Mus musculus: one gene and its partners. The protein of the gene in region 1 interacts with the protein of each later gene in a pairwise test. Links are inferred from orthologs where the notes say so. Each region holds a gene or a part of one and is shown in the gene's direction. Other genes may lie near its edges. The genes, in order: Kpna3, Tssc4, Mat2b and Ercc3.

What was found.
Region 2: the proteins of Kpna3 (region 1) and Tssc4 interact in binary tests that used the Homo sapiens proteins (3 or more experiments, as listed by UniProt). The two-hybrid records come from large-scale screens. The link is inferred for Mus musculus from reciprocal best matches to the Homo sapiens genes KPNA3 and TSSC4.
Region 3: the proteins of Kpna3 (region 1) and Mat2b interact in binary tests that used the Homo sapiens proteins (3 or more experiments, as listed by UniProt). The two-hybrid records come from large-scale screens. The link is inferred for Mus musculus from reciprocal best matches to the Homo sapiens genes KPNA3 and MAT2B.
Region 4: the proteins of Kpna3 (region 1) and Ercc3 interact in binary tests that used the Homo sapiens proteins (3 or more experiments, as listed by UniProt). The link is inferred for Mus musculus from reciprocal best matches to the Homo sapiens genes KPNA3 and ERCC3.

The regions. Positions count from the first base shown.
Region 1 is NC_000080.6:61,382,379-61,389,542, reverse strand, and holds part of Kpna3 (importin subunit alpha-4), read left to right. Parts: intron 1-2,033; coding exon 2,034-2,119; intron 2,120-4,353; coding exon 4,354-4,440; intron 4,441-4,785; coding exon 4,786-4,955; intron 4,956-6,263; coding exon 6,264-6,308; intron 6,309-7,164. UniProt on the Homo sapiens protein: Functions in nuclear protein import as an adapter protein for nuclear receptor KPNB1. Binds specifically and directly to substrates containing either a simple or bipartite NLS motif.
Region 2 is NC_000073.6:143,065,951-143,073,208, forward strand, and holds Tssc4 (protein TSSC4), read left to right. Parts: upstream 1-3,417; 5' UTR 3,418-3,563; exon of another isoform or gene 3,564-3,684; coding exon of another isoform or gene 3,685-3,870; 5' UTR 3,871-3,900; intron 3,901-3,985; coding exon of another isoform or gene 3,986-4,006; coding exon 4,007-4,960; 3' UTR 4,961-5,137; downstream 5,138-7,258. Other genes in the region: CD81 antigen, read left to right, coding at 1-67, 298-402, 711-812, 1,197-1,283, 1,362-1,424; Trpm5 (transient receptor potential cation channel subfamily M member 5), read right to left, coding at 6,398-6,486, 6,781-6,847, 7,212-7,258. UniProt on the Homo sapiens protein: Protein associated with the U5 snRNP, during its maturation and its post-splicing recycling and which is required for spliceosomal tri-snRNP complex assembly in the nucleus.
Region 3 is NC_000077.6:40,688,039-40,695,858, reverse strand, and holds the start of Mat2b (methionine adenosyltransferase 2 subunit beta), read left to right. Parts: upstream 1-3,176; 5' UTR 3,177-3,318; coding exon 3,319-3,381; intron 3,382-7,820.
Region 4 is NC_000084.6:32,237,073-32,244,917, forward strand, and holds the start of Ercc3 (general transcription and DNA repair factor IIH helicase subunit XPB), read left to right. Parts: upstream 1-3,254; 5' UTR 3,255-3,321; coding exon 3,322-3,349; intron 3,350-3,557; coding exon 3,558-3,763; intron 3,764-5,891; coding exon 5,892-6,128; intron 6,129-7,726; coding exon 7,727-7,776; intron 7,777-7,845. UniProt on the Homo sapiens protein: ATP-dependent 3'-5' DNA helicase/translocase. Binds dsDNA rather than ssDNA, unzipping it in a translocase rather than classical helicase activity. Component of the general transcription and DNA repair factor IIH (TFIIH) core complex.

The DNA.
Region 1 (7,164 bases):
TTTATTTGTGTAGATTTGTCTGCAAAACAAAAAATAGGTCAAAATATAAACAACTTAATAATTTTAAAACCATCACCCAAGGTGTGGTATGAATAGAAAATTGCCAGTACTTTAGGTAACAGCTTCGTGATTTCTCTTGGAAAGCTATGTTAACTGTGTAACAGATCACGTTAGACTTAGAGCTGTATAGACCCTGGTCTAATCTAGACTTGGTATTGACCAGAACACAACTGTTGTTTGAGCCTCAGACATTCATCTGTAAAAATTAGGTGGTTGTGAGGAAATGTACATTGTTTGTACAAAATATTCTGTGTTTATTTGCTTCTTCAGCTGTTTTTATATCTTACTTGTTCTTTTTTCACATGACTTTTGAAAGACTTACCTTGGTCCTGCAATTTTATTTTTCGTATCTTCCCATTTTCCTGTCCATGGCCCCCATTTCCAGTATTCTGTAAACACTCCTTAACTGCTTATTTACACTTCCGACTTCCAGTTTGTGGTGGTACATATCATCTGTCACTTCCTATCTCACCATCCTTTTAATGTCCCTAGCCACCAGTCTGCCTTTCATATCTTCCATTCCCTGCCTTCTGTCAGAATTGATGGTGACAGCTCTTGTCTATTCCATTTTCTGTTTACTCTTTCTGATGTGGAATGTGCACTTCCCATCTACACTGCTGCTATAGCTGATCATTTGTTTCCCTTACTTTCTTCAATGTTTATATAGACAGATTTTTCTTATTCCCTGGTTTTCAGCTCACTTTAGTTTTTTTGCTGGCTGTCTGCCTCCCTCCTCCATTGCTCTTTCTGTTATTATATTCTTCCATCTCTCTGTGTTATTTCTCTTTAATAGGTCTCTCCTATACCAGTCTGTAACAACCCTTTTATCCATTTTACATGCCACTGACTCTTGACTGCAAACCCTACCTTCCCACCCCACTACTGGGTCCTCATACAGGATGGGCAGGTAGTCCACACTGGACTCTATCTCCTGCCATTGCTTTTGCTTTTGCGATGTGGGCCTACTCATTGACCTGGGTGGACCACTCTGAATTTGCTCTGTTGTTCAGGCCATCCTTTGCTTTCTTTGTATCAAAGAATTTTACCCCCTTTTTTTTCCATTATTTTTCCTTTTTTCTGTTTGTCTATTTTTCTCTTTTGTTCTACCCCACCTCCCACCCCCTCTTTTCTGGAGACAGGGTTCTTACTGTATATCCCTGGCTGACCTAGAATTCACTATTGTAGACTAAGCTAGCCTCCACCTCATAAAGATCCACCTGCCAAATGCTGGGGTTAAAAGTATGTTATTACACCTGGCTTTACTCCCCTTCTCAATAGAATAAATTCTAAGGTCTGCAGCTTAGAGTTTGAGATAGACTGTGCATCTGCCCTCCAGCACTTACGTGCACAGTTTCATTCTGTCCACCCTTAACTTTCTTATTCTGTGTCTTACTGTACATACATCATTCCACCTCTGATAGATTTAATGTAGATTGCCAGGGCCTGCCTTTTAAAATCCAATTTAGGAAAGCAAATTAAATTTGCTTTTTACTTTTTTGTGTTAGATCTTCCATGACTGACTCAAATTATAATGCTTTATCTGAGGAATTATGCAGGCCTGTAATATATAGCCCAGATGGTGTAGTGAACTCTGGTGGGTCCCAGTTTTAAGACTAGTCTGGAGTCTGTAGCTGGGATTAAAGTGAGATTGTAAGGGCTTTGGCGATACAGTTATAGTGGGTTACGGTGGAAGTGGAAGGAATATTCAGAACATAAGCCATCATTTGTTCAGTAGAGGTCTATGGGCAATGACAAGTCCAGAGGTGTGTTTGTCTTATTGCTGCACCTCTCAGTGGATGTAAAGAAGGCAGTTGTAGTGACTGGCTTTGAGGAGCAGTCAGATGGGGTAGATGCGTGCAGCTGGTGGTGGGTATAGATAGCAAAGTGAAATCCAAGGACCAAGAAAGGAAGTACAGTGGTGGTTTCATGTCTGAAAAGATTTTCTTTTTTCTTCTTTTTTCTTTCTTTAACAGTCCTTCATTACAGTTTGAAGCTGCTTGGGCACTAACTAATATAGCATCGGGAACTTCTGCACAGACTCAAGCTGTTGTACAGTCTAGTAAGTCAAGTCTTTTTCTTAAAAATGATTGAAATAGCTTTTATACCAAAAACTGAATTTTACCTTAGAATATTTTGAAGTGAGTATAAATTTTTGTGTTACTTTAATGATTTTTTAAAATCTTTTCCATATTATTAAACTGTTACAAAATAATTGTAATTTTGGAACAAAAAAGAGAATAGACTTTTTATGTTTCTGGGTAGAGACTATATCCTAGTAATAGGACTTGAAATACCTTGTTTTTAACACTTTTTAAGTATGCTGAGTAGGCTAGGCCTTTCATGTTACAACATATAGTTGTTTTGCAGTAGGGCTTGGTGGTGGGGGTGGGGTGGGGTGGGGGAAGGTCTTGCTGTGTAACCAGATCTGGTCTTAGAGCTAGCTTTCTGTGTAGTTGCAACCTGACCATAAACTCAGGGTATTCCTGCTTCAGCATCCTGAGTGCTGGCCATACAGGTGTGATTTACACCTGCCTCAGTCCTTACTTTTAAGCCTTGGCTGATCTGAAACTTGTTATATAAACCAGTCTGGCCTTAAACGCACAGAGATCAGCCTGCCTCTGCCTTCTAAGTGCTGGGATTAAAGGTGTGTGCCCCGCATCTTGCTTATTTCAAGTAAGTTATTATAATTTTGTGGCTGAAGTTATTACAGCTCTTAAAAACTTTTCCAACTTGGTGTTGTAGTAATGAACATTTTTTTTGTTTTGTTTTGTTTTGTTTTGTTTTGTTTTGTTTTGTTTTTCGAGACAGGGTTTCTCTGTGTAGCCCTTGCTGTCTTGGAACTCACTCTGTAGACCAGGCTGGCCTCGAACTCAGAAATCCACCTGCCTCTGCCTCCCAAGTGCTGGGATTAAAGGGGTGCGCCACCACGCCCGGTGTGAGCATGTTTTTAATAGAAATTAGGAGGTAAAGTTAACTATATATATATCACTTTATTTTCATTGTTTCCATTTTAAACTGAATTTATCAGTGATGAAAATAATGCCTTGAAAATTAGTTTTTTAAAAAGTTTTGCTGGAGTGGACCCTGTGTCTCCAGTTCTGCTCCTAGATGAAGTGGGAGAGAAAGCGTGTGTAAGATGTTCATAGAGCATTCAGTCAGTTTCTCAGAAGTTCACTATTAATGGGTCAGTAAATGTATGGAACTGAATTATTATTTAACAATCTAGAAGAATAAAGCAATAATACCTGTGAAATAGATGAACTTGAAAGTTACGAAAGTGAAGGAAGACAGATATTTAAAAAAAAAAAATCACATGCAGTAGGATTTCATTTCGCTGAAATGTCCAGACTAGACAAGTCCATGCATAGGAAAGGCAAGCTTTTTAATGATAGCCTGGGTTTGGGGAACTGAATAACAGAAGAGTAAATGGATGCTGATTACTAGAGATAGGGGAGCTCTTTGCAGTTGATGACCATGGAAAGCTGGAGTGTTAACAGTGACTGTCGAGACTTACAGTGATACATTCTGGTAAAGTATGAATTACTTGTAATAAAAAGACGAAGTTAAGTATCTAGTATACAGGTAAAGCTAAATAATCAAGAGCTAACACAGAGTAGAAGCTTAAGAAAAAGTGAACTTATGCTGAAGGGGGGTATAAGGTATAACAGTGTAACAAAGTTAGAGGCTAGAGAGATGGCTCCACAGTTAAGGCTGCTTTTCCGGGAGACACCAGTTCCATTCCCAGTATACACATGTAGCTCGAGGCCATCTCTAACTGTAGTTTTAGGAAACTAGACACCCTCTTCTGGCCTCCACAGGCACTTGTGGTGCACAGACATACACATGTAGGCAAAACACCCATACATATAAAAAAATAAAGATAGAATACTAAATACAATTGCTTTGAATTGTTTGGTAATCTGATTTAATTGGTTCTGGTTAACCCTGTCTTAGGCATTAGAATTACATTGAAAGTAAGTATTATTCTTTAAGAATACATGTTTGGGATAAGAACTTCTTAAAAATCAATTATAGGGAAGATTTTATGTTTTTTTTTTCTTATGTTAATGGCATAGTAGCATGCTTAGGTTCTGTTTGATGCTATATTGCTCAAGTATTACCAAGTTAAAAGTACTGATACTACTTATTTTTTACATATCCATGCCAAATTTGTGCAGGGAACTGTAATTGGGCAATTGTAGTGTGTATCTGACTCTTGAGTATTTTATTAGTTTACTTGAGTTGGAATTTGTAGATACATTAGATAACCTAGTCTTCCTTACATACACACAGATGCAGTACCACTTTTTCTGCGACTCCTCCATTCCCCACATCAGAATGTTTGTGAACAAGCGGTGTGGGCTTTGGGAAACATTATAGGTAAGTTGAATTTAGGTTTGAAAGGCTTTAGTTGACAATCTTAACTTTTTTCCCACATTGGCATAGCCATTACACACTATGTTTCCTCTGCATTTTATATGAGTTGACTGTGTTCATAAACTTCTAAGATAGCACTTAAGTGTAAAAGGCACAAAAGGATATATCATTTGTGTCAATAGTGGTTAAATTTGTGTTCCCCAAATCAAAATCATGGGTGGCAACGCTTGATGTTTGCCTGGTGAGGAAACATAGGGCATCAGTGTCCCAACATGAGCCATTGCACACATTTCAGACTTTCTCATCCTGACTGTGATTTTTTTTTAAATACAATTTTCATTTCTGTAGGTGATGGTCCTCAATGTAGAGATTATGTCATATCACTGGGAGTTGTCAAACCTCTTCTGTCCTTCATCAATCCCTCCATTCCCATCACCTTCCTTCGGAACGTCACATGGGTCATTGTCAATCTCTGCAGGAATAAAGACCCCCCACCGCCTATGGAGACAGTTCAGGAGGTAAATGCAGAATTGTAAGGCGAGATGGTTTGTTTCCCTGTTTATGCTTTAGGTATTCTTTTTGGGGGGATACGGGGTGGGGTGGGTTCGAGACAAGGTTTCTCTGTGTAGCCCTGGCTGTCCTGAAACTCAATCTGTAGACCAGGCTGGCCTCGAACTCAGAAATCCGCCTGCCTCTGCCTCCCAAGTACTGGGACTAAAGGCGTGCACCACCACTGCCCAGCTGCTTTAAGTATTCTTGTACAGGGAATATAATGAACATATTCTGATTTTGTTTATGAAGGTACTTCTGTTTTGAAGTATAACACACCATATGTCAAAGTTGAGTGTTGTTCAGTAATAAAAGGAATGTCTGTCCATTCTAATGCTTATTTTTAATGATGTTTCATGAAGAGAAAAAATTCCATAAAAGGGAAGAAGCCAGTTTTGTGATACTGCCTTATAGATTTCTTTTGCTAAGAAATATGCAAATAATTTGAGTGACTGCATTCAGCCCATTGATTTCTGACAAAATTGGTGTTCTTGGAAATGTGGTATATGTTAAATTTTTAAAAATCCTGTAAACCCTTTCTTTATTTGTATCTAGAGTGAGTAAATCTGTGTCCTGATCCAGTGTTTGCACCTTTTGTTACCATACTGATCATATGAGTCCCTAGGAGGCATTTCTCATTTGCTGTATATTTGTGGAAGGTCTGTTAGGTCTGAGGGTCAACAAGCCTGTTACCTTGTACTGGTTGTAATTTTCTTGACTAAAGCTATTTCACTCAAGCAGCTTATTGAATACAAATTTAGATGATGATAACTCTGAATAGTAATTTCTCTGAACTATCCAAAATGTGTGCTTGTCGCTGGCATCTCCATTCTCCTTACCCGACATTATGTCATAAAGGATGTTTCTGGAAGTAATTTAATTTCTCTTAAGGAGTATTAGTCCCTGTCAGATTTATTTAGCTCTTTTAATTAGACATTTGAAATATGCTTTTTGGTTTTTCAGATTGAGTTTATTAATTTTTATGCTTCTTAAAAGTATTCAGACATGTTCACATTGTGGGTTTTTTGTTTTGTTTTGTTTTGTTTTGTTTTGTTTTGTTTTTCGAGACAGGGTTTCTCTGTGTAGTCCTGGCTGTCCTGGAACTCACTTTGTAGACCAGGCTGGCCTCGAACTCAGAAATCCGCCTGCCTCTGCCTCCCGAGTGCTGGGATTAAAGGCGTGCGCCACCACCTTGTGTTTTAAGTAATTCTTTCTGTGTCATAGTTTGTGTTTACAATGACATGTCATCAACTCTAGTGTTCATCTTCTTTCCTCAGATTTTGCCAGCTTTGTGTGTGCTCATCTACCATACGGACATAAATGTGAGTAAAGTGGTGTCAGTGTGGGAGTTGACTCTTGATGCGATCGCACGGGTTTTTTAAAATGAGTGCTAGGGTATATTTTCTCTTTGTCTGAGTGTGTGTGTGTGTGTGTGTGTGTGTGTGCTCGCGCGCGTGCAGGGAGGCGGGATTGGAGAATAAGAGTAAATTTAAATCAGATTGATGTAATTTCTGGTTAATCTTTTTGTCAGTAGAGATGCTGATTTCTTGATCCTTGGATTGATTAAAGACAGCAGTTTCTCTGTGATCTTACTTTCTCAAATTTCTATTGAAGTAATTTTTTGAGGGTTTTCTCTGCCCCACTTTTGCCTATTCTGCTCCCAAGAAGATGATAGATCTGGGCAGATTCTGAGCTATACCAGTCCTTGCATATTTTTCAGACCCACCTGAATGCCCTGTTTCTTATCACATGAGTGTCTGCTGGGCACCTTCTGCTATAGTTCTCTTTCCTCAGGGCAAACTTCTCTTGGCTATGTGCTTTTTGTTCCTTTTCCTTGTGGCCCCTACCTGAGTTCCCTTACTCAATCTCAAGTCTCACCTTCCTCTCTTTTCTGTCCAGGCTCAGGCTCAAGCATATTATTAACAAATGAGGGGAACATTTTTTTTAATGTGTGAGTACACTATACCAGTGTTCAGACACAGCAGAAGAGGGCACTGGATCCCATTACAGATGGTTGTGAGCCACCATGTGGTTGCTGGAAATTGAACTCGGGACCTCTGGAAGAGCAGTCAGTGCTCTTAACTCCTGAGCCATCTCTCTAGCCTCATTGTGGGGCATTCTTTTACAGCACTTTGGTCAGTGCAATGCCCATGTCCAGATTACAGCCTGATCAGTATA
Region 2 (7,258 bases), on another chromosome or scaffold:
CTGCCTTGTGATCCTGTTTGCCTGTGAGGTGGCTGCAGGCATCTGGGGCTTCGTAAACAAAGACCAGGTAAGCCTAGGTTCACCGAGTGGGAGATATGCCCTCTGCCCTCCAACAGATGTGGGTTGCTCTGAGCCCATAGTTATAGGGTGCTTTTTGAATTTCTTGGACCTGCTGCTTGGGTGGGGGCAGGGTCTTGGGAGCTCAGTGGAAGAGGTGGCATCAGGCTGAGCCCATCGGGAAGTTGAGTGCTCTTGGGCGTAGCCCCGACACTGTATGTGACTATGATTCTCCCCCAGATCGCCAAGGATGTGAAGCAGTTCTATGACCAGGCCCTTCAGCAAGCTGTGATGGATGATGATGCCAACAATGCCAAGGCTGTGGTGAAGACTTTCCATGAGACGGTATAGCTAGGCTCAAGCAGGAGGGGAGGCTGTGGGGTTCCTAGTGTGTGAGGGCATGGGTCTCCTTTCTTTCCAACACAACAGGGCCTAGGAAAGGGTCTCCTCTATGATTTGTGGGTCCTCAGGTAGGAATCTAATGGGCCTCATTTTCCCAGGGGTTTGAAGGAACAGGGCTCCTGTGCAGGGTGACAAACAGGGCAGAAGGACAACTCCCAAGTGTATTTTGGGGTGACGGTGTGCTGTGTGCCTGATCTTTCCCTTGTCTCCTGAAGCTCCAAAGCTGACAGTGTTGTTCTTGGTCCCTGCAGCTCAACTGTTGTGGCTCCAACGCACTGACCACACTGACTACCACCATACTGAGGAACAGCCTGTGTCCCTCAGGCGGCAACATACTCACCCCCTTACTGCAGGTAGCATGGAGTGGGGATGAGGTGGTGGTGGTGGTCGGTAGGGTGGTGTGGCCAATCAGGAAGATCAGCACTTTGAGCAAGACCTCAGAAGTCCCATAGACCATCTCTATTACTGGGGTACCGGGTCCTCACAGCTTGAGTTAACCCCTGCAACATCCCAGAAAACTGTTCTCTTGAGTGGTCCCTCATACCCTGGTGACCCTAGGGTGCTAGTGAGGTAAAAAAACACTCCCCTGTGACAAAAGGCTGCAGGCAGCAGGTCCGTGTGTCTTAAATTTGTTTTGGGGTGGAAGATAAGCTGTGATACATAGGTCCTGTCACTGAGTAGGGTGGTGGCTGTGACTTAGCCACTGATGGTTAACCACGCTCTTGCCATCCCTGCAGCAAGATTGTCATCAGAAAATCGATGAGCTCTTCTCTGGGAAGCTGTACCTCATTGGAATTGCAGCCATTGTGGTAGCTGTCATTATGGTAAGCACAGGGTCTCTGGTGGGTGGGTGGGATCCTTCCCAGGGCCTTAGGTGCTGACTATGCCCCTCCCTCCTGCAGATCTTTGAGATGATTCTGAGCATGGTGCTGTGCTGTGGCATCCGGAACAGCTCCGTGTACTGAGGCCCTTTGCATTGCACCAGAGGATCCCTGGAGTGACCAGAGGCCACCTTGGGGGACATGGCCTGTGTATATAATATTTCTGTATCACTCTGCTACACTTAGTCTTTTTACTTTTGAGTTTTTTGTTTTGTTTTGTTTTGTTTTTGTTTTAGTTTTTTTTTTTGTCCTGAACTTTTCCTGTTACCTTTTGGGAGCTGACATCACACATGGGTGGCATATGTGGGATGTAGGGGTGGAGCTGGCCCTGGCTTGCAGGGCCCTGTACGTCTGGGACCCCTGGAGAGTTCTGCCTGCTGAGCCAAACCTCCTCTACAGCTACTTGCCCAGAGGCTTTGTAGCCTAGCTAGAGGGCCATGCCCACCCACTCAACCCACTGTGGGTCACATTGCTCACATCTTTTTAATCTTTGTTCCTTTCCTGCCTCCATTTCAAGAGCTGGGTTTGTAAGCCCTCTTATGCCTTCAATGCACTTATTCTTTCTAACGTGTCACCTTCAACTGTAATTAAATCTTGAAACAGTCATTTAATAAAGGAGGAAAAAAATCAGGCATGCTAATGGGACTGCCAGACCTCTTCCTGTGCTAGCGGTGTCAGAGACCTGGCTCATCAGCTCTGAACTTTGCCAGGCACAGGGTGAGCAGGTCCAATAGAGGCTGTGGAACACAGTGGGTGGGGAGGGCTGGGACCCTGGGAGCACTCCATATGGGTCCTCCCTCATTTGTACCTCCTTATACTGGGAGCTCAATGCTGACTTTACGCCAGCCTTGACCTCATTTCCACTCATCTGTTGGACATGACAGGTCAGGCTGAGTCGGGTAGGAGGAGCCACCTAAGCAGGGAAATTCAGCACAGAATGATGGAGATAAGCTGCAAGAACACCCTCCTTTTCAGGGACAAGACAGTAAAGGTTAGCCCATTACCCCATCCATCTCAAGAAAAGATTCCACGGAGCTGGGTGGCTCTGGCTTGTGTCTCAATAAGTAAAAGGCAAGATGGCAGTTCACTTACCCCTGTGAACTGAGGATCAGGCTAAGCAACCTCCCGGACGCCAGGGGCAACCACCACTGTCTCTTTCCCTTTGTCTCCTGTCTGCGCCCCTCCCCCAGGCTGCTGGCATAGTTAATTGGCCACTAGAGGAGAGACGCCCTAGCCAAGATTCATGGCCCAGCTTCTAGCAGCCTCCCAGTAGGCTTATTTGTCGGTGAACCCCAAGCTTGTACTAGGACATTCTAGGTCTCCGCCACCTCTACCTCCCACGCCTATGCAACCTGTTCCGTGCTTGGTTGGTTTCTGGTCTGAGGAGCCCTTTATATCCTATGTTATGAGGTCCATGGGCACCAGGCCAAAGCTGTTGGAGGCCTGCTGCACAGCTTCAGAAACATAGGAAAGGAGAGGCGCATGCAGCAGCCCCATGGTGTCTCAGACTCTGATCCCTAAGGATACAAGAAAACAGCCCCACGCCTGGAGGAGGATTATGTGTGGCCTTGACTAGTAGGGGCGGCGTCCTGCAACTAAAGTGTCCGTTCCTGCGTCAGGAAGCACAGACAGGCAGAGCCCAGGATAGCGGCTTCGAATCTCTGAAGCCCCAACCAACCCACCCCAGGGACCACTACGTCTCTTCATGCCAAGAGCCAACCAGGACCTTGGCCCCGCCTCACTCCAGAAAGCCAACAAAGCACAAGACCCACACCACTTCCGCCCAGGGCCGGAAATGTCTAGGAAACTGGTTGGCGCTCACAGTGCGTGGTGACGCACTTCCTCCTTGTGTCGGACCCGGCCGGGACGGCTTCCGACAGGCGAAGCTGCAGGCCTCAACCCTTTGCGATTGGCAGTTAGCCCTGGAGTATTGTGGGAACCGTGGCTCCGCCTTTTCCTTTTTCGTCATTTCTGGGTGGGTTTCCGTGTGCGCTCCGGGTTGGCACGCTTGTTAAGGTTACAAGTCCCGGCTGACATTAGGCGGGAACCCATTGCCTTCTGGGAGTTGTAGTTTCTCGGGCGCTGAAGCCACGAAAATCTGATCGCCCGAGACTCGGTTTCCCAGGAACCCGAGCGAGACTGGACAGGACCGAATCCCGGGGAACTGGCGGGACGCTGCGAGAAAGGCGGCAGGGTATTGAGGCGTGTACGGACGCTGGAACGGTGAGCACTGGCCTCCCTAAGGCCGCGGCCAGGGCATTCCCGTGCCTGTTTCTGCCAGCCCTTCGTCCGGACCCGGGTGGCGCTTGTACCTAGAGAGGCTGCGCTTTACTGAGAGCCCGTGATGGGACAAGCAGCTGATGGAGATCTCCTGTCACCAGCATCTCCCAGTGCTCATCTATTGTATGTCCACACTGTTATGATCTCATGGTTGACTCTCTCCTTAACCCCACCTAACCTGCAGCTCCTGTATCTGTGCGCGCTAGGATACCCTTTAACCACCCAGCTTCGCGAGGCCTCCCGTCCGGCTGTGAGTAGAGGCACTTGACACATAGTGGAGGTGAAAGACGGGAGCCTGGGAGGACGGGGAGGGATGAGGCCTTAAATACACCCCTCACGGCGGAACTGGGACTGCTTCGCTACAGGTGGGACGGGTGTCAGGTCGTATGGCGGAGACAGAGGCTGGCCTGGAGGCTGATGAACCCACCGAGGATGACACCCTGCCTTCTGACACCGTCTCCCTCAGCGACTCGGACTCGGACCTTAGCTTACCTAGTGGTGTGGAGGTCCAAGTGTTGTCCCCAGAGAGGCTTTCGGAGGAGGGCCAGGAGGACTCCGGCCCTGAGGACCCTCCATCGCCCCCCACGGGCACCCTCACCACTGCAGTGCAGCCATTCCACCTCCGAGGCATGAGTTCTACCTTCTCCCAGCGCAGCCACAGCATCTTTGATTGTCTGGAGAGTGCAGCCCGGCAGGCACCGTGCTCTGCTCCCCAAACCAGTGTGAGTGACAATGGCAGCTTCAGGCGGCCCGTGACTCCCCCAAGTCAGACTCCAGCAAGGGGCCTGAGCAGAGTGCATGGGAACACTGGCCCGACTAGGGTACTCCCAGTCCCTGACTATGTGTCACACCCTGAGCGTTGGACCAAATACAGTCTGGAGGATGTGTCTGAAGCCAGTGAGCAGAGCAATCGTGATGCTGCCCTGGCCTTCCTGAGCTCTCGAAGCCAGGTGTCCCACACAGACTATGTGCCTTCTTTCAACCAGGACCCCTCTAGCTGTGGGGAGGGAAGAGTGGTCTTCACCAAACCAGTGAGGGACAGTGAGGCTAGGGCTGAGAGGAAGAGGGTCCTAAAGAAGGGGGTTGGGTCAGGTGCGGGGGGTGAGGCCGCTGTGGAGCTAGCCCATCTCGCTGGACCTGAGGCTGAGGAATGGAGTGGCCACCAGGGACAGCCAGAGGTGGTGGTACCTTCAGAAGCTGCCCATCCTGAGTCCTCATCAGGCCCCATAGGTGTGAAGGCTGTTGGTTTCCATGGCAGCAAGAAGCGGAGCAGAGACCACTTCCGGAACAGGGACGGTAACCCTGGGGGGCCGGGGTCTGAGAGAGGACCCTCAGTTTGACTGCAGTGCTATCACTCTACCCCTCACCTGCTAGTCCAAGTGGGAAGGTGTGGGCTGTCTGTGGTAGGGGGATGTGTGCAGCCGCTCTGGCAGAGACTGTGGGAATTGTGGGTCAGGGGACCTCGAAGGCCTTTGTGCCCCAGTGTTTAGGATGAATAATAAACGTTTGGAATATTTCTTGAATTGTGTGGCTTTTTCCGGGCCCCACTCAAAGAGTTCTGTCCAAACAGTCCTGGGCAGCCAACTACAGGACTGCATCTCTGGCAGCCTCACCTTGCCTTCCCCACTCCAGTGAGGACTGCCGTGAAGGTTTGCCATGGTCATTTACATTTGTCACTGATGAAACTACCCAGAGGGACTGGGCTCTTAGCTGTGTTCAGCCTTGTGCCCCTGATGGTAGTGAATGAGCATAATCTGCACAACCCACCCCCACCCCCACCCCCAGAAACCAATGCAGCCCCAGCACTGGGCCTGTACAGACCACAGGTTATAGGAAGAGGATGAGTTGTGAAGCAGCATATGGTTGGTGTCTGGCTGTGTCTCCAGGACTTGTGTGTGTAAGACACAGCTGATGCTGGGTCATTCCACTGAAGCTGAGCCAGAGAAGAAGAGAAGGATGCAGGGAGGATGCATGAGCGAATGTTTCCTGTGGAGGCCAGGGACTTGGACCAAGTTAGCTAGACCTGCTAAGACCCAGGTCTGCCCCAGCCTCTGTAGTCCCCATTCTCTGAGTTCCTCTAAAAAGGACCTGGATGGTCATTTAATTTGAGGAGCAGTGGAAGGAACGGAGATGCCTTTCACTAGGTCAGACAATCCTCCATATTCCCCGGGTGTTTGAAATGTCCCGTTTAGCCACCATTGTGGCCCAGTTTAGCTGATTTGAGGTGGTCTACAGGCTTTATAGAAAGTAAAGTAGCATTGGGTACCCTTGAGCAATATCTTGGGGTTTCTGCCAGAATGATCAGACAGATAATGCTGTGGGGGGTGAAAGATGGGAGGTAATTACAATAGATCTGAGTCCTGCCCTCTAGGAGCTGGTCAGCTAATGAGTGGGTCAGGGGTCAGAAAGAAACCTAGTGTTTAAGAGGTTGGCTTCTTAGGAACTCAGGGTAAGACAGGGGTTAGACCTAAATAGCCCCATCCAGGCAGATGGTGTCCTATGTAGGACTTGGCCAGATCCAGCTGTCCAGTCCAAGCCAGTGAAAGCTTTAGTGGGACATGAAAAATCTTGCCCTGCTGGAGAGGATACTTCTGAGGCTCCCGAATAGATGCCAAAGACATGAGTTTCATTCTCTTAGGAAGGGATGTCCAAGAAGTGATCTGTAGCAAGGCCTTGAAGACCATTTCTTGGGGCTGCTGGGAGTGGGGGAAGGTTGATGTGCCCCAAAAACTCGATGTGGCCAGGTCTGGGGCTCTAGAGCAAGTGGTTTCTCCATTTCAGGTGTCAGAGGGTGGCAAGCCAGACTCTAGGTACTCCCTGTCTCTAGCAGAGGCTGGCTGACTCCTGCAACCACAGTTCTGAGAGCCTGGGAGCAAGAAAGGGAGAAAGGACCCTCAGCTGGAGAGCCTCAGCTGGGGCAGGGCAGGAGTGAGGCAAGGGCCAGGACATGGAAAGTGGCAAGGCTAGCAAGGCCAGTGCTAGGCAGAGCCTTGGGACACTAAGGAACAGTGGCCTGCCGAGGGTAACCGACCTCTAGCACAGGTGGAGAAGGCAGGACCTAATACAATACACAGCCCGCAGCTTTGCTCTTGCCCTAATCTAGTGGCTGAAGGGAGGAGCCCATACCCATCTCATTCCCATGGCCTGAACCCATACTTACTTGAGTAGGTGCCTCCTGGAGCCAGTGTATCCGTCATAGAGGACAAGAGGAGCATACAGTAGTTGGCCTGGAGAGAGCCAAGGGAGGTACTGAGACTTCGGTGGGGACTGGGGGGACCGGGTTGGTTTCCTCCCATGTGATTGCCCTCCTGCCAGGGCTACTGCTGCCCTGGGACTCCACACTCTGGACCAGGTCCTCCCATAGTGCATGATAAGGGATAGTGACCGGATGTGGTGCTGAACCTAGGTTTTGTTGGACCAGCTCTAGAACAACAATGAGTCTCGAAAGTGAGTTGGGGCAGGGGCAGGCCACTCTATCCAGGCCCTAATGCTACCCACCAGGATGCTGGTACAGGGCTGTGGTAGTTCCCATGGAACCAGAAGGATGCCCCCACCCCAGGAAGAAAGATGGATAGTGAGTTGCTAGCTTGCCTGTGATTCCAGACACTTGATCCTCTTTTCTTGCTCTCTCAGCCCCC
Region 3 (7,820 bases), on another chromosome or scaffold:
CAAATTACTGACCTACAGTTCTTTAAATATTCTGAGTATGTTCTCTTTAGGTATATGTATTCAAATTATTTTTTCAGTCTGTATTTTATTTATTTATTTATTTTATTTTTTTATTTTTATTTTTTTTGAGACAGGGTTTTTCTGGATAGCCCTGGCTGTCCTGGAACTCACTTTGTAGACCAGGCTAGGCTGGCCTCCAACCCAGAAATCCGCCTGCCTCTGCCTCCCAAGTGCTGGGATTAAAGGCGTGCGCCACCACTCCCGGCTTGACTAATTGTTAAAATATGTACTTTATTTGTTTGTTTGTTTGTTTTTTTGGATTTTTTTTTTTTTTTTTTGGTTTTTCAAGACAGGGTTTCTCTGTATAGCCCTGGCTGTCCTGGAGCTCACTTTGTAGACCAGGCTGGCCTCGAACTCAGAAATCTGCCTGCCTCTGCCTCCCGAGTGCTGGGATTAAAGGCGTGCGCCACCACGCTGGGCCACCCCTAGAGTTTTTAAATTGGCATTTGGAATCATTAAGTTAAAAAAAAGGAATGGGGGGGGGGAGTTTTTAACTCAAGTTTCCGTTACCGTAATGTGTGAAACGTGTGGAATATTTCACAACAGGAATCAATTGCTTGTACTTCCCAACCGTTGGCTCATTCTTGTCTTTCTACAAGAGACAAAGTCAACAAGTTCTACCAGGGAATTGCAGGGGTTTGTTTGTTTGCTTGCTTGTTTGTTTTTAGTTCTGCCATATGGATTTCAGTAATGGGTCCTCCCTTGACTTGCAGTTAAGCATGAAACTTCTCATTGGGTAGTTTCAAAACTAGCAGGAGGAATCAGCTGCTAGCTTACTGCACTGTGGAAAGCTGCACGAGATTCCAGGGTTGGAATGGAAATGCTAATTTAAAAGGTCAAGCGGAGCTGCGCCTCACGTTTTTGGCGTCCGTGTGCTCCGTGCGGGCGGAGCGAACAAAGACCGGGCCAGAGGAGCCAGACGCCCAGATCCCTCTCGCTGCGTTTCCCCAAAATAGTTCTGGAATCATGCCTGAAATGCCGGAGGCCATGGAACAGGTAAGAGCTAGCAATTCAAGACTCGGTGGCGGCTCGGCGATGCGCTAAAATCGATTCCAAACCGCTGCTACGAGCAGAAAGGGTGTAAATAAAATGCTAGCCGGTACCATTTATTTCCTTAAGAAACGTAAGCTTGGTACACAGAATAAACTATCTAGGGTTTCTGACCCAGGAAATCAAGCCCAGTTTAATAAATAAGACGTGAAGCAGAACGATAATTTCATTCTCCACATTGAGTGCAACTGTAGTGAAGGCTCTGTGTAGTGCAAGATTTAACCCGTGGTGCATGCCCAGGTTTTTTGTCTTTTGTCTTTTGTCTTGTGGAGCTTGAATCTGCTAATGGGACTTTCAGTTCCAGTTTGCACTCTTTGAGACGTGACTCCCCAACCCCCATCGGAAGTCAGACATTGGCTGTAAACAGAGCCTTTTCTTATTAAATAAGCTATACCCAACTTTTGCCTGACTTGTGTCAAACCGTACTCTTATATATAGGCAAGCAAACATTTTCTCACTCTCTTCACAAGGTTGCTCTGAGAATCACACTAATTGTGGAAAATTTTGAGTCTTCCTATTGAGTACATTTTATGATCCCCTCTAGGAAGCAAACTACACACACATCAACCAGAAACTTGAAATATTCTCACTTTTAATTAGGATGAGGGATCTTGGATTTGTCCCTCCCTCGGACTTCTAATTATTATTATAATTTAGTGTTGGGATAGCTAGCCCTTTTAATAACCATAAGACCCGGATTATAAAAAAAAAATTCGAAAAGTAGGGAGCCTTAGGCTGCCTTTGTTTGCTCTTCCAAAGAGTGAGGGAATAAATTCTTTAGTGGGGGGGGGTGGGGTGGGGGGGTGGGAGAAAAACTATCACCTGACTGAGGAAAACTTTTCCCAAGGGGCAGCTTAATCCTTAGTCTAAAAATAAACCAAAAGGATTCTGAAAATGAGGCCTTTGGGGGTAATTCAGGCAGTGGTCACGTTTTGGGGCGAGTTTTGAAATCCCTTATCGTGGGTGTCTGGATGGGAATAGATTGTTGGGTAGAGAGTGGGCGGAGAAAAAGTGTGCCCGGGCTTTTTTTCAGGGTAAATTTCACTGGCTTGCCTGTTGCTGTGCTTCGGAGCTTGTAACCTGCAGGTTACAGTTGAGAGCTGAGTCAGACCCTGCGAGCTGTTGTTTCTGATTAACTTTTGAACAACCACACAGGGCTGGAAGGAGCGCCTGGCATTCCGCCCTTCCTTGGCTCCCTCATTTTAAGTCTTAGCAGCTCCTCCTTGGCTTGGCTCCAGCAGCCCCGGGCGTCGTCGTCCCCTAAGTGAAGCCTCCAAAGGGCAGCCAGGACGCCTGTTAAATCTACTTAAAAGTTGACTGGGCTTGTTAGCACAGTTGAGTTTCTCCTGTGGTTCTGCGGGGGGGGAAATACGAAGAACCTGCCTTTTAGAAAGTAACATTCTCTCCCACACCTTTTTATTTTTAATTAGCTAAAAATAAACAGTTTTCAAACTTCACAGCATTTTTTTTTTAGCATTCCAGAAAAACATAGCTTTCAGGGATGTTAATGACTCTGAGCACAGTCCTATTTTTATTCTTTCTTCTTGCCTTAAAGGACGAACCGCACCTTGCCTAGGTTGGTTGTTCACTCCTGTAACCCTTTGATGCCTTTGGACAAGGAAACTAGAGAGGATCAGAAATTGCAGGTCTTTCTCTGAGCCCAAGGCCAGCCTGAGGTTCGGACTGCCTAAAACCAACTCAGTCCAGCCTTAGCTCTGTGTTCACGGGACAACCCTTACCTTCTTGCCTCCTAACTTTACAGATGTTTTAGTCTATTTTCTATAATACATGCTTGGTTGACTCCTAGGCATTTCGCAGTCTGCAAACCTAGGCGAATCGATTCCTTACCCTTCACTAAGAAGGAATAAGTAGGAGAGATTTTAAAAAAACAAACAAAAAAGCCAACACTCTTAAACCCAAGGAAGCCTGCATCCATCGCTTGGCACCAGTGCCTGCGTTCTAACGCTCTATCTCCTTAAGAACTGGCACATGGGCTGACAGCGTCCCTTGAGGTTCCGCCCCTTTTTGAACGCGTGGCGAGAGGCGGCCAATCAACAGGCGCGGCCAGGGCGGCGGAAGCCGGAAGCGGCAGCCGGGGTCGGCCTGGGCCTAGGGGAGGAGGGCCAAGGGCGCGGGCGCTGCGGCCCCTGGCAGTGCTGCGCTAGTGGAGCTTGCGGTCGCGACTGAAGCGGCGCAAAGACTGCGGGCATGGTGGGCCGGGAGAAGGAGCTCTCCATCCACTTCGTCCCCGGCTGCTGCCAGCTGGTGGAGGTGAGCTTCGGGGCATGGAGCCGGGGTGGCGCCTTTGAGTTTGTTTACCTCTCTCCCTGTAGGGCTGCGCTCACGCCCGCTGCAGCCCGGGGAGCGCGGAGGTGGAGACTCCCGGTGCCTCCCGCCGCCTCCCGCGGGCTGGCTCCCGTTTCAGTAGTCATCATCTTTGTTTTGTGTTCCTGGATCTTTAAGGACAGGGGGAGAGTGACTTTCCATAAATGGCGGTGTCGGCGGGGTCAACTTGGTGAATTCATAGTTTGCACGGGGCGGGTTCCTTGAGGCACTTTTAAGGCTGTCAGGATTTCCGACTGTGCGGTGCTGTGAACGCTCAGGCTCCCTGGTAGGCAGACGGGCACCGCCTCGAGTTTATTCAGGAAGGTTTGAGCAGGAATTCCAGTGTTGGGCTTTTAGCTTCTACGTTTTCTGAACCGCTGTATTTTGCGTGGTGGAAGACTGCTGAAAGAAATTGCATGTCTGGTAAACTTCCCCCAGCATGTTTCCAAGTCTGGTCCACGGTCCCGTGTTTCAAGCCCGTTAAGTACTTACTGACCTACAGAATGTATCCAGCACAGTCGATGAACTAATGTGTCTTGCTGATATAAAAACGCCTAGGATGTGGCCAGTTTTTTTTTTTTTTTTAATGCAAACTTTTAATTTGGGGGAGGGTCCTGTGCTTGCTAGAGTTACTAGAGATAAGGGAGTCCCTATTGAGATGAGGGATTCTTGTTAAGAGTATACCGCCATAAGATTAGGCTATTATTAGGTGAACCTGTAGCGCCTTTTCTTAATTGGCGATTGACTTGGGAGGACGGAGCCCCTGGGCTGTTATAGTCCTGAGTTGTTTAGGAAAGCTGGCTGAGGAATTAAGCAGTTTTCACAAGGCCTGTGTGAGCTCCTGCCTCCAGGGTCTTGTCCTAACTTCCTTCAGGGGCGAACAGTGATGTGGAAATGGTAAGCTAAGTACCTCCTGCCAAACAATGCTTTGATGTTTTCACACAGCAATAGAAACCCAAACTAGAACTCAGTATGTGTTGTCCAGGCTGGCCTTGGACTCAGATGCTTCTGCCTCGAGGAGTGCTGGGATTGAAGATCTGAGCCACCACAACCAGTTGATAATGGGAAATTTTTACATTTGCGTGATGCACATTCAATATTATCTCCAAATGGCTGGGCCTTAGCCAAAGTTCGAATGTATTTGCAGTTCCAGACTGGTGACGGCATGTGACCAAAGGTGTGTGCGTATGAGCATGTATTCGTGTAGGCTTAATGCATTTCCCCAGTTCAGTAAAAGAAAAGTAGAGAGTGGTAAACTGAGTGTGCTAACTCATGTCTGTAATCTCAGTACTCAGGAAGTTTGTAGTGGTGAGGAGATGTGATTGCTTTTTAGGGTGGTTTTTTGTTTGTTTGTTTGTTTTTTCTTTCTGTTGTTGCATTTGTTTGTTTGTTTTAAACAGTCTCACTGTGTATTCATGGCTGTCCTCAAATCCCCGGAGATCTGCGTGGCTCCACCTCCAGTGGGCTGGGATTGATGATGCCACCACACCCAGCAACCTTTTTCATTAAAAAAAAAAATGGTACAGTAGCTGAGCGTGGCGGCTTATACTTCAGTCCCATCACTCTAAAAGCTGAGGCAGGAATGATTATCAGGCAAGCCAAGGTTACATAGTGAGACCCTGTTTCATAAAAGCAGATAACAGGCAGAAGGTGCAGACAGCTGGAATCTGCATGCTGGTGTTGCTCTCTCAACCTGTGCAACTGACATTCACTCTTGTTGCCAGCTGAGACTTGGCATAGTTAATGTTAGTGAGGCAGCCTGATACCAATTCCTGTTAAGAACACTGCCTGTGTGTACGTACAGGGAGTTGAGCTGTTCCCCTCTGAATTCCATTCCTATTAAGCAATCTAGATATCTTGTTTCTTAAATCCCAAGGGTGTCCAAGGATGTTAGAGAGGTAGAGAGTGAATGTGAAAACTTGAAAGTGTTGAAAGTGAATGTGAAACTTTCTGGTTGTTTTGTATTTGTTTTCCCAGACAGATCAGGGCTGGTCTTGAATTCATTGAGACCCTCCTGCATCAGATGATTTTTTTTTTCAATTATGCATGATTGCTAAGTGTATAGCCGTGTACCATGTGTCTGATACCTACTAGGGCCAATAGAAGGTGTCCATTCCAGTAGAGCTGGAGTTACAGGGAGGTGTGAGCTGCCCAGGATGGACTCTGAGGACCCAATGCCAGTCCTCTGCAAGAGCAACTTTTTTTTTTTTTTTTTTTTTTTTAGGTTTTTAAATGTTATGTGTGTGGGTGTTTGGCCTGTATGTTTGTTCACCACATGCATGCAGTACCCTTTGAGGTCCACAGAGGATGTTGGCTCCCCAAGGAACTGGAGTCACACATATTGTTGATACCTGCCGTGTAGGTGTTGGGACTCAAACCACGCTCTCCAGCCCCATCTGTTTTCCTTTATGGTGTTTTCCCAGACCTCTTCATGGTATTTGTTACATGTACAGTGTTGTGAATCTATACTAGACTTAGCATGCTTTGACCCCGTTTATTTCAGCTGTGTGTGTGGTGTGTGTGTGTGTGTGTGTGTGTGTACGTGTACAAGTATAGTTTTTGAGACAGGGTCTTGCCTAGTGGGCCGCACTGGCCTGGAATCCCCTCCGTAGAGCAGGCTATGCTCAGGCTGCTGGCACCCTCCTGTTCACTGAGGTCATCACTGCACCTGGTTTAGAGTTAAGCCTTTGGAGAGTTATTTTCTTGCCAAAGTTCGAAGAAAACATTTTGCCGGATCAAGTCTTCATTTTCATAAATTGCCTGGCTTAGAGCCAAGTGTTATAAAGGACACCACATGAAGTCTCATTAATGTTTTTTTAAAAATGTTTTGAAATTCATTGAATTAAAATCCTTAATAGATTTTTTTTTCTATGCTGCCCTCCCCCATCCCTGCCCTTTGGATTTCAGCTTTTGTTAAATGCTAGAAACAGCTGATTTGGGGGTCCTTAATTAAAGTATGTATGTTTACTAAATCATTTACCCGAAAATGTCTTTGGATATTGCCTGTATATATGTGTGTGTGCACACTTTTTTTTTCCAACTCAGAATTATGTGACTTTAACAGAAATAGGACCTTGTGATAAAATCTAATGAAAGTTTGAGCCCCAGAGCTCATGCTTTGGCTACAGGTGTGTGACTCTCTGCTGGCTGAAAACATTATTTTTAAAAAGGAAAAGTTGGCTTTACTTAAGAATTTGGCAGGAAAGTGTTACTCAATTTTTGGAACTTTGCCTTGAGTATACAAAAATCAAAATATTCTTTAAGCAGTAATTTTAAATTTTTACTGTGAACACAAATGTTTTTTCAGTTTTTTTTTCTATCTGTATCTGTTAGTCATAAGTATTTTGTGTAAGTAAATTTAGTGCTGACCGAGGGACATATTAGTTGACTTTATTCCAAATAAACTCCTATGAAATGTCGACCAATTTTCTTTTTTTTAAAGATTTATTTATTTATTTTATGTATGAGTACAATTATAGCTGACTTCAGACAAACCAGAAGAGGGTGTCAGAACCCATTACAGATGGTTGTGAGCCACCATGTGTTTGCTGGGAATTGAACTCAGGACCTTTGGAAGAGTAGTCAGTGCTCTTAGCAGCTGAGCCATTTCTCCAGCCCTGACCGATTTTCAGTCCTGTCAAAATGTGACTCATCTGAGCCTTGTGCATTTTCAGAATATCTTAGAAGATGTGAAACGCCTGTTGACTAATTATGGGGTGATATGATCACTTCATCCATCATAAAGAAAGTAACTTCCATTGTTAATATGAAATCTAAATCAAATGGGGAAGTTGTTAGTGATCTCAGGTTCTTTTTCTTGATTACTAAAACTTTATTCTTACTCATCTAAAAAAAGTAAACTTACTTTATGTACATGAGTGTATGTATGTGTACCATAACCATGTGCACGCCTGGTACCCACAGAAGCCAGAAGAGGGCATCAGATCCTCTGAAACGGGAGCTAAGGACAGATGTTAGCTGCCATTTGAATGCTGGGAATCAAACCCAGGTCTGCCATCTCTTCTACCCATTCATTCTCTCTCTCTCTCTCTCTCTCTCTCTCTCTCCCTCTCTCCCTCTCTCCCTCTCCCTCCCTCCCTCCCCCCCCCTCTCTCTCTCACACACACACACACACACACACACACACACACACGTATGACCAGAAGAGGGCAATCAGATCTGCAGTAATGGATAATTGTAAGCCATCCAATGTTTGTCTTCTACAAAAACGGTGTGCTCATAAACAAGTCTTCCTTGTCTCGAGGAGGCTGATTGTCAGTGGGGACTGGAAAGATGGCTGTGGTTAAGAGTTCTGTGTGGATTTGCAGAGGACCCAGGCTCACTGTAACTCCAGTTCCAGATGATTTTATACCGTCTTCTGATCT
Region 4 (7,845 bases), on another chromosome or scaffold:
AAACAACAAAAACAGTCCAAGACATCCAGTGAAAGAGATTCGGAATTAGAAAATTATTTTCTTTCAAGGAGAGAAATGGAATGCTTTGTAAAGAGCCAAAGCAGGCACAACCTGATAGAAACAACCTGGAGACAGTCTTAGATATACAGTAGCCTGATGGGGGAAGGGGATTCAGATACCACTTCAAAAGACAAGCTAGCCGAAAACCGGGCAGTCCTATTCTTAGGGCAGCCCTAGCCCTCATGAGCCGCAAACCTAATTGTGGGGTCTGGCAAGACAGTGATTCCTCTGGCAGATGGGCCAGCAGAGGAGAGAATTCCCATTTGTCACATGTATGTGACTGGATACTATTTTGAGAGGGAATCCATTGTTAAAGCTCCAGGTTCCATAGGGGCCATATGCTTAGCACAGTCCCTCCATAAGGGAGGGTTCAGAGAGGCAGTTGTGAGCACTGTGGCTGGATACTGATAAACTGAAGAGTGCACGTAGCAGGAGGCTGACCAGGATGGGGAAGTGCATAGGGAGAGACAGCCTTGTCCTTGGTGATTGAGAACAGATCTCAACTGACCGTAATCCTGTTTTGATAACTGACCCTGAAGCCAGTTTGTAGAATCAAATTCTGAAAGCTACCTATGGTTCTGTGTGCTAGAGGCCAAGACCTCTGAAGTTTCCGGGATGAATTTGATAGCTACGTGTGCAAACCTCCAGCAGCATGATTAATACTACTATAGAGGCTTTGAAAGTATGGAGACAGGTTCTCCATCTGGATTGACCTCAGTGATGTACTCTTCCATACTCCCAATGAACGTAAGGTAACACCTGCCCCCAGCTAAACCATCTAGGCTAGGAGGTATGATCTGGGAAGTCTCCAGAGTGTGAGAACCTGCCTAGCCCATACAACCCAAAGCTGGGTGTTGCCAGAAGAGGTTCCTCAAGTGCAAAGTGGAGGTACAAAGAAGGGGCCACTCATAGACACTAGATCCCTTTTCAATACAGACTCAGTAGCAATATAAACAAAGGAAAGTGAGTTCACAAATCCAGACAGCTGACTTTCACTCCTCCATGCTTGCTTGCTTCATGCATATGTACACCCACTGATATAAGAGGGTGATGTCGGTTGTCTTATCGTTTTCCTCATTTATTTTGGTGTGTGTCCACGTGCCTTTTTCATTTGTTCTCCAACTATATTGAGGCAGGATTTCTCACTTGAATCCAGAGCCCAGTGATTTGGCTTGCTCCAGGGACCTTGCGGTTTTTGTTTTTTAATTCTTGTCAAGACTTACTTATGTGAGTTGAGTGCTTTGCTGAATGCATGTCCCCCATGTGTGACTGATGCCTGTAAAGGTCAGAAGAAATCGTTGGATCCCATAGAACTGAATTTGTTTGTGGGAGCTGGGAAGCCAAGCAGCCACTTCTTGAAGAGCAACGGGTGCTCTTAGGTACTGAGCTATCGCTCTGGCCCCAGCCCAGCCCAGCCCTGGCTTTAAACTCTTAGTTCTTTCTCACTGAGCCATATCCCCAGCTCCACTTCTCCTTACTAGTTTTGCAACAGGATTTCTTAAGTCTAAAGCTCATGGCTTAGACTGGCTGGTCAGTGAGCCTCAAGGATTCTTCTCTGCCCCTCAGTGCTGGGATCACAGCTGTGTAATGCCATGCCTGCTTGGCTTGTGTGGGCTCTAGGGACCCAAAATTAAGTCTTCATGTTTGTGCAGCAAGTACATTAACCCACTAAGTTATCTTCCCAGCTCTTAAAAAAAATCCAATTTCATATTGCTCATCTGCTTTTTTTTGTTAGCGGAAAGGGTGTCGTCATAACATTTTCATACATATGGCATACTTGTTATTGTCTTCCCTTCTGCCTCTTTTCTGGTCCCTTTCTCTTACCCTTCTAATTTCTTATCTAAGTTTTGCTGTTTAAATCATGCCACCTGGGACATTTTATTATAGAACAGCAAGCAGGCTTTGTAACTGCCAGTTACATCTGATTTGCTCCAAATATGAACTCTGCCTAAGGTACATCATTTTATGAGTTGCTGAAACCAAAAATCTTGGGTGTTAACTCTTTCTTCCTCCCCAAATCCCGTATTATCCCAGTTGGCAAATCCTATCCATTTCTCATTAAAATAAACACAGAATGAAACTATCTTCATTTCTTTTACTTAGACCTATTCCAAGATCACTCTACTACTGTTTTTGGTTTTGGTTTTTTTTTTTTGAAAACGTGTAACATTATTTCTTGATTTCAGGTGATGCAATTAGACATGATCTACCACACTTGGTTTATGTAGTTCTGTGGCTAGAACCTGCTAGATATGAGGGGAAAAATTGTTTTGCACATGTACACACACACCCCCGCAGCCAGCTGTCCAGAATTTGAAGGCTCAAAGCAGTGGACTCTCTTTCCTTTGCCTTCTTTTAAAATTGGACAACAGCAGGGAGGGGCGTGGTGGTGCACGCCTTTTACCCCAGCCCTCGAGAGGCAGAGGCAGGCAGATCTCAAGTTCGAGGTCAGCCTGATCTACAGAACGAGATACAGAACAGCCGGGACTATACAGAGAAACCCTGTCTCAGAAAAGAAAACACAAACAAACAAAACACCCACAACAAACCAAAGATCTGGAAGGCTGTGAGGTTTGACCCTAGCCAATGGGGAAAAGTCACTAACAAATTAAAAACTACATCAACTGCCTGTTCTGATGTAGTGTTAGTCCCTTTGGGTTCTGCTACACTCTCTTCCAAAAAGAATTGCCTTGCTGAGGTACTCTTCATGCTATCCTTGGTGAGACACCAAGATTATTCTTTGGTTCCGACATAGGCAAAAATTCTACCAAATGAGCCACCTGCCCATTTTTATTTACGTCAGAACGATGTGTATTTCCCACCTCTCTCGTTCGGAATTTCGTTTCCAGAAACCCGGCGTGGTGGAACACGCCTGTAATCCCAGCTCCCGGGAGCCTGAGGGAACCACCCAGGTCCGACCTTCCTTAGCGATCTAAGCAGTGGCCTCAAAAACCAAAACAAAGCACTCCGTAGGTGGAAGCAGATCTCCGTCCCGCCCGATCTATAGGGCAAATAAGCTCAAGGCTCCTAGAAGTACGTAAGGCTCAAAACAAATCGTAGAGCGGAAAGTAAACACTCCAGGCAAGCGCAGCTCGCCTCCGGTCGGCCCTGTGGTTCCGCTCTTCCGGTTTAAGACTTCAGAGGCGGGACTTCCGACCGTCTGGTGCTGTATTTCCGGTATGTACCGGAAGTTCATTAGCAAGTAACTCCTGCGGAGAGGAGGTGGTGCGGTGTGCCGGCCTGCCTGCATCTAGAGCTGTTATGGGCAAAAGAGATCGAGTGGACCGCGGTAAGCACTACTTGTAACTGTCATTGTCGTGGGGTTTTCTCTGGCCTGTTGTGTCCGGGAGATGCGGAACTTAGCCGGGTGGGAGGCGTTTGCCGGACGCCGGTATGCGGGTGGCGCTGGTTTAGGAGTTCTTGCCAGAAGTCTCCTTGGGTGGTGAAAAAGGAACCCTAGAATCCTGCTGGGCTCACTTCTGTGTCTTCGGTCGCAGACAAAAAGAAATCCAAGAAGAGGCAGTATGAAGAGGAAGAGGAAGACGAAGACGACATTCCTGGGAACGAGTCTCAGGAGGCGGTGCCCTCCGCCGCTGGGAAACAGGTGGACGAGTCCAGCACCAAAGTGGATGAGTATGGAGCAAAGGACTACAGACAGCAGATGCCACTAAAGGGTGACCATACCTCCAGGCCCCTCTGGGTGGTAAGCATGGCCAAAAAGCCTGCGCGGCAGCTAAATCTTGGACATTCTTACACCTCCAAAATTCAAACGTGAGAAATGCTGCTCTTTCTGAAGCAGCCGGGAGAGACGGCTGTCATGGGGCACACTGGAGTAGCTGGTGTGATCTGGTGTTCTCCACTTCACCCCAGCCCCCCATATGATGACAAGCCAGATAACTCAGGAGGTAAAGGCTCTTGCTGTCATAGGAGGAGGAGAGGCCCGACTCTGGCAAGTCACTTTAGAGCGGTGACATGCATGCACTCACATACACGCACATACCCCACATACAGTCAGTAAATGACATTTATCTGTTTGGGTGGTATATGTGCATACCCTGTGCAGAGAGACGTGCAGGGATTGTTTACAGAGCCCAGAGACTGATGTGAGATGCTTTTCCCAGTCACTCTTCACATATCTGCCCAGCTCCCTGTTTTGGCTAAACTTACTGGCCAGCGATGCCCCCCACCTCCCACCCCAACTTAATCTGCCTGCCCGCCCACCCACCTATCTCCAGCCATCACAGCTCTGTGGTTGTAGGCATGCATTCCTGGTTTTATACTTAAGTGCTGGAGATCGCAACTGAGGTCCTCATGCGAGCGAGCACTTTATACACCAAGGTAGCTCCCCAGCCACTAAATAGTTGTTTTAGATGACAATTGATTTACACTTCTTAAAAAAGATTTTTAACATTTTATATGTATGTGTGTGTGTATACTTGTTTCCAGAGGAGGCCCGAAGAGGGCGTAAGATCCCCCAAGCCTGGAATGACAGGCTGTTATGAGCTGTCTGATGTGGGTGCTGGAAATGGAACCTGTGTGTTCTGCAGGAGCAGCCAGTGCTCTTAACCACTGATCCATCTCTTAGGTTCTTTTCAAATTGATGGTAGATAATGTTTTGGTAGCTAAGTTTCCTTGGCTTAAAATACATCATGATCTGTACTCAATTTGCATTCTAGCCAAAAGGCCTTTTGAGAATAGTATGTTGGAAGATTTCCATATATGGAACATTGGGAACCTTTTCTGCCTACTCTTCTCTAATTATAGGAGCAGGGTCCCTGCAGTTTCCTGAAGGATTGATTGCAAGAATATCCTTCCCATTGGACACTCACCCTTCTTGATAGTGATGTGACAGTCTAGTGGTGTAAGAGTCACCTTATTCACCTGACATAATTGTTGTCTGGAGGCTTACTGCGCCTGTCTGCTAACCTAGGCCTAGTCCTGGAAGCTTCTAGTCTCTGTGTAATCTAACCTAGGCCTGGAATGTTTTCCCTCCTCTGAGACTTGAAGCTGAATAAGCTCGCCCTTTCTAGTTCTTTGTGAGCTCTGACTGGCCAGTTTAACTCAGCTGCTCTGGCTCAGACTCCTCTTCAAGCTGACTGCTTCAATCTGGCTTCTCTCTTGGCTTTTCCTGAATTGCACTGCTTGGCTTCATATTAACTTTAGGAATCTCTTCTAATCTTCTGGCTCCTTCTCATTCTCTGACTTGTTCTGTTCTCACTGTATCTAGCTTGCACTCTCTCTATAACTGTCCCAGTAAAACTGCCTCCTTCTCCCTCTTTGTGCTGCTCCACTCTCAACTCTACTGTACTGCTCTCCATGAACTCCGCTGTATGCTGTACTGGACTCTCTCCTCCTGTACTGCCTGTCTCTCCCTTAAGTAGCTTCCCTTTCCTCTCTCACCTTTGAGAGTTGGGCGTATCCTTTCCTATCAAGTCTCTCTGATTTGTCACTTTTTCTGCCACTCAGTTAAACATCACTTTCAAACATGGGTACTTCCTTCTGCAAACTAACTTTACCTCTATTGTTTGGGATTAAAGGTGTGAACTAAAGGCATGCCTGTATTCTGGCCAGAGGGATTAAAGGTGTGTGCTGAAGGCTGAGCCATACAACTAGGAGAAGGTTTTTTCTTTTCTTTTCTTTTCTTTTCTTTTCTTTTCTTTTCTTTTCTTTTCTTTCCTTTCCTTTCCTTTCCTTTCCTTTCCTTTCCTTTCCTTTTTTTTTTTTTAGTAAATAACACAGTCTCAGGTTCGCAGTGTGATCAGAAATCCTGTGACATAGTCTCTGCAGCTCATTGATATTCTTGCCTGTTGTGTTCCCTTGATGCCTTTTAGGCTCCTGATGGCCACATTTTCTTGGAAGCCTTCTCTCCAGTTTACAAATATGCCCAAGACTTCCTGGTGGCAATTGCAGAGCCGGTGTGCCGGCCTACTCATGTACATGAATACAAGCTAACCGCCTACTCCCTCTATGCAGCGGTCAGTGTTGGGCTGCAAACCAGTGACATTACTGAGTACCTCAGAAAGCTCAGTAAGACTGGAGTTCCTGATGGAATTATCCAGTTTATTAAGGTGAGTTACTAGCAACTCTTGTGCTCAGGTGCGTACTTACTATATGTTGTCATTGAAATGTCTGATTTGTGTTTCCTTTGATAGCAAAATAGCTTCGTGCCTAGCTGCTGCCACTTTAGATCCAGCCATGGTTCTGGCTGAGATCATGTGTTTTGTGGGCTGCTCCAAGCCATGGGAGTAGAAGTTCAGGTCCACTATGGCCAGGGTTACTTGAGAATCCAGCTCTGGATAGATGGAACTATAGCCTGCATGTACATATCAGAATCCTAACCCCAAATACCTGTGTGTTAGTAAGACTAAATGAGGTCATAAATGTCTCCCCATTCAGAAGGTGCTTGTCTTTATTAGGAATTATACAGTTGTCATAAGTCCCTTCTTTATGGGACTGTGTAGAGAGAAGGTGACTCTCTTCTAGCCAGGAGACCTTACCACAGCCTGAATTAGCTGGTCCTGGTCCATTGATCCTGAGTAGTTAGAACTCTGAGAACATAAGCTTTTGTTGTGGAGTTTTTTTGGTGGTTAGCTGTTACAGGAAGTGAGCTCCATGTAAGGTAAATACTTAAGATCCATGGTAAATTAAGTGTATTAGGGTAAGACAAAACTTGAAATGTTGACCTGAAGAGGGTTTCATGGGAACAGCAGTTGAATATAGGTGTATATTATTCACAGAAGATAGGAGAACAGTTTTTGTTAGTATTGGCTAATCTGAAAGGACTTCAAATTAGATTTCAGTCTGGAAGCAGAAGAGTGTGCCATGAGCAGAAGCCTGGGAGCACGACAGAGTTCTCTGTTCTGTGATGCAGAAGGATGCTGACGAAGAAAGCACCAGGGCTAGGCCTTTGGTCTACATGGTCTAAAGGACGGTAGTCGTGCTGGGGCAGTGCTGTTGTGCTCTGAGGGGCAGCTCACAATCTCAGTAGCAAGTTATGGCGAACACACAAACGACCTGCTCCCTTCCAGCAGATTGGGGACTTAAACTCTATTCCCTGTCCCTCAGAGGCTTACACTGTGCTGGCAAGGTGGCACGCGCCCCTTAGTGCCAGATGTCTAGGGAGGAGGATTGTAAGGTTAATTTCTAACTTGTCTCAAAACTTAAAAATAGAGGTGGTGGTGGTTCGGGATATAGCTTCATGGTCTTGAGTTCACTTGCCAATACAATGAAGAAAAGATGGCATTCTTTAGGTTGTGGAAATGGAGAACATTGGTGTGAAGGTCTAAACATTTGTGGTATTTGAACTTACTGTGTGTAGCAGGTCCTGCCAGCACTCACTGTGCCTGGTGACTTCTGGGGAAGCAGGATGGGCTTCCAGGTCGGGATGGGGGCTGTGGCCATGCAGGGGAAAGGAAAACGGAAAACACAGCAGAGGTTGTAAATAGTGGTTTGTAAATAAAAAGCTAGGCATATGAATTAGGCAAAGGATGGGTTTATCCCAAAACTATGGAGGTCAACGGACAAAAGCCCCCTTGAGGCAGCTGTGGCTGTGGCTGATGTTTTCCGAAAGTACACCCACCGGTCCCTTGGCCGGGTGCTGAGCCTGGTGGAGTAGCATGCTCTGAGCGCTGACGTAGCCTGTCTCTTGCTGTTCCTCTGCTTACAGCTGTGCACTGTCAGCTATGGGAAGGTCAAGCTGGTCCTCAAGCACAACAGGTGAGCACTGCCCTCTGTGTGCCAGCCGGGAGGGAGGGAGGGAGGGAGGGAGGGAGGGAGGGAGGGAAG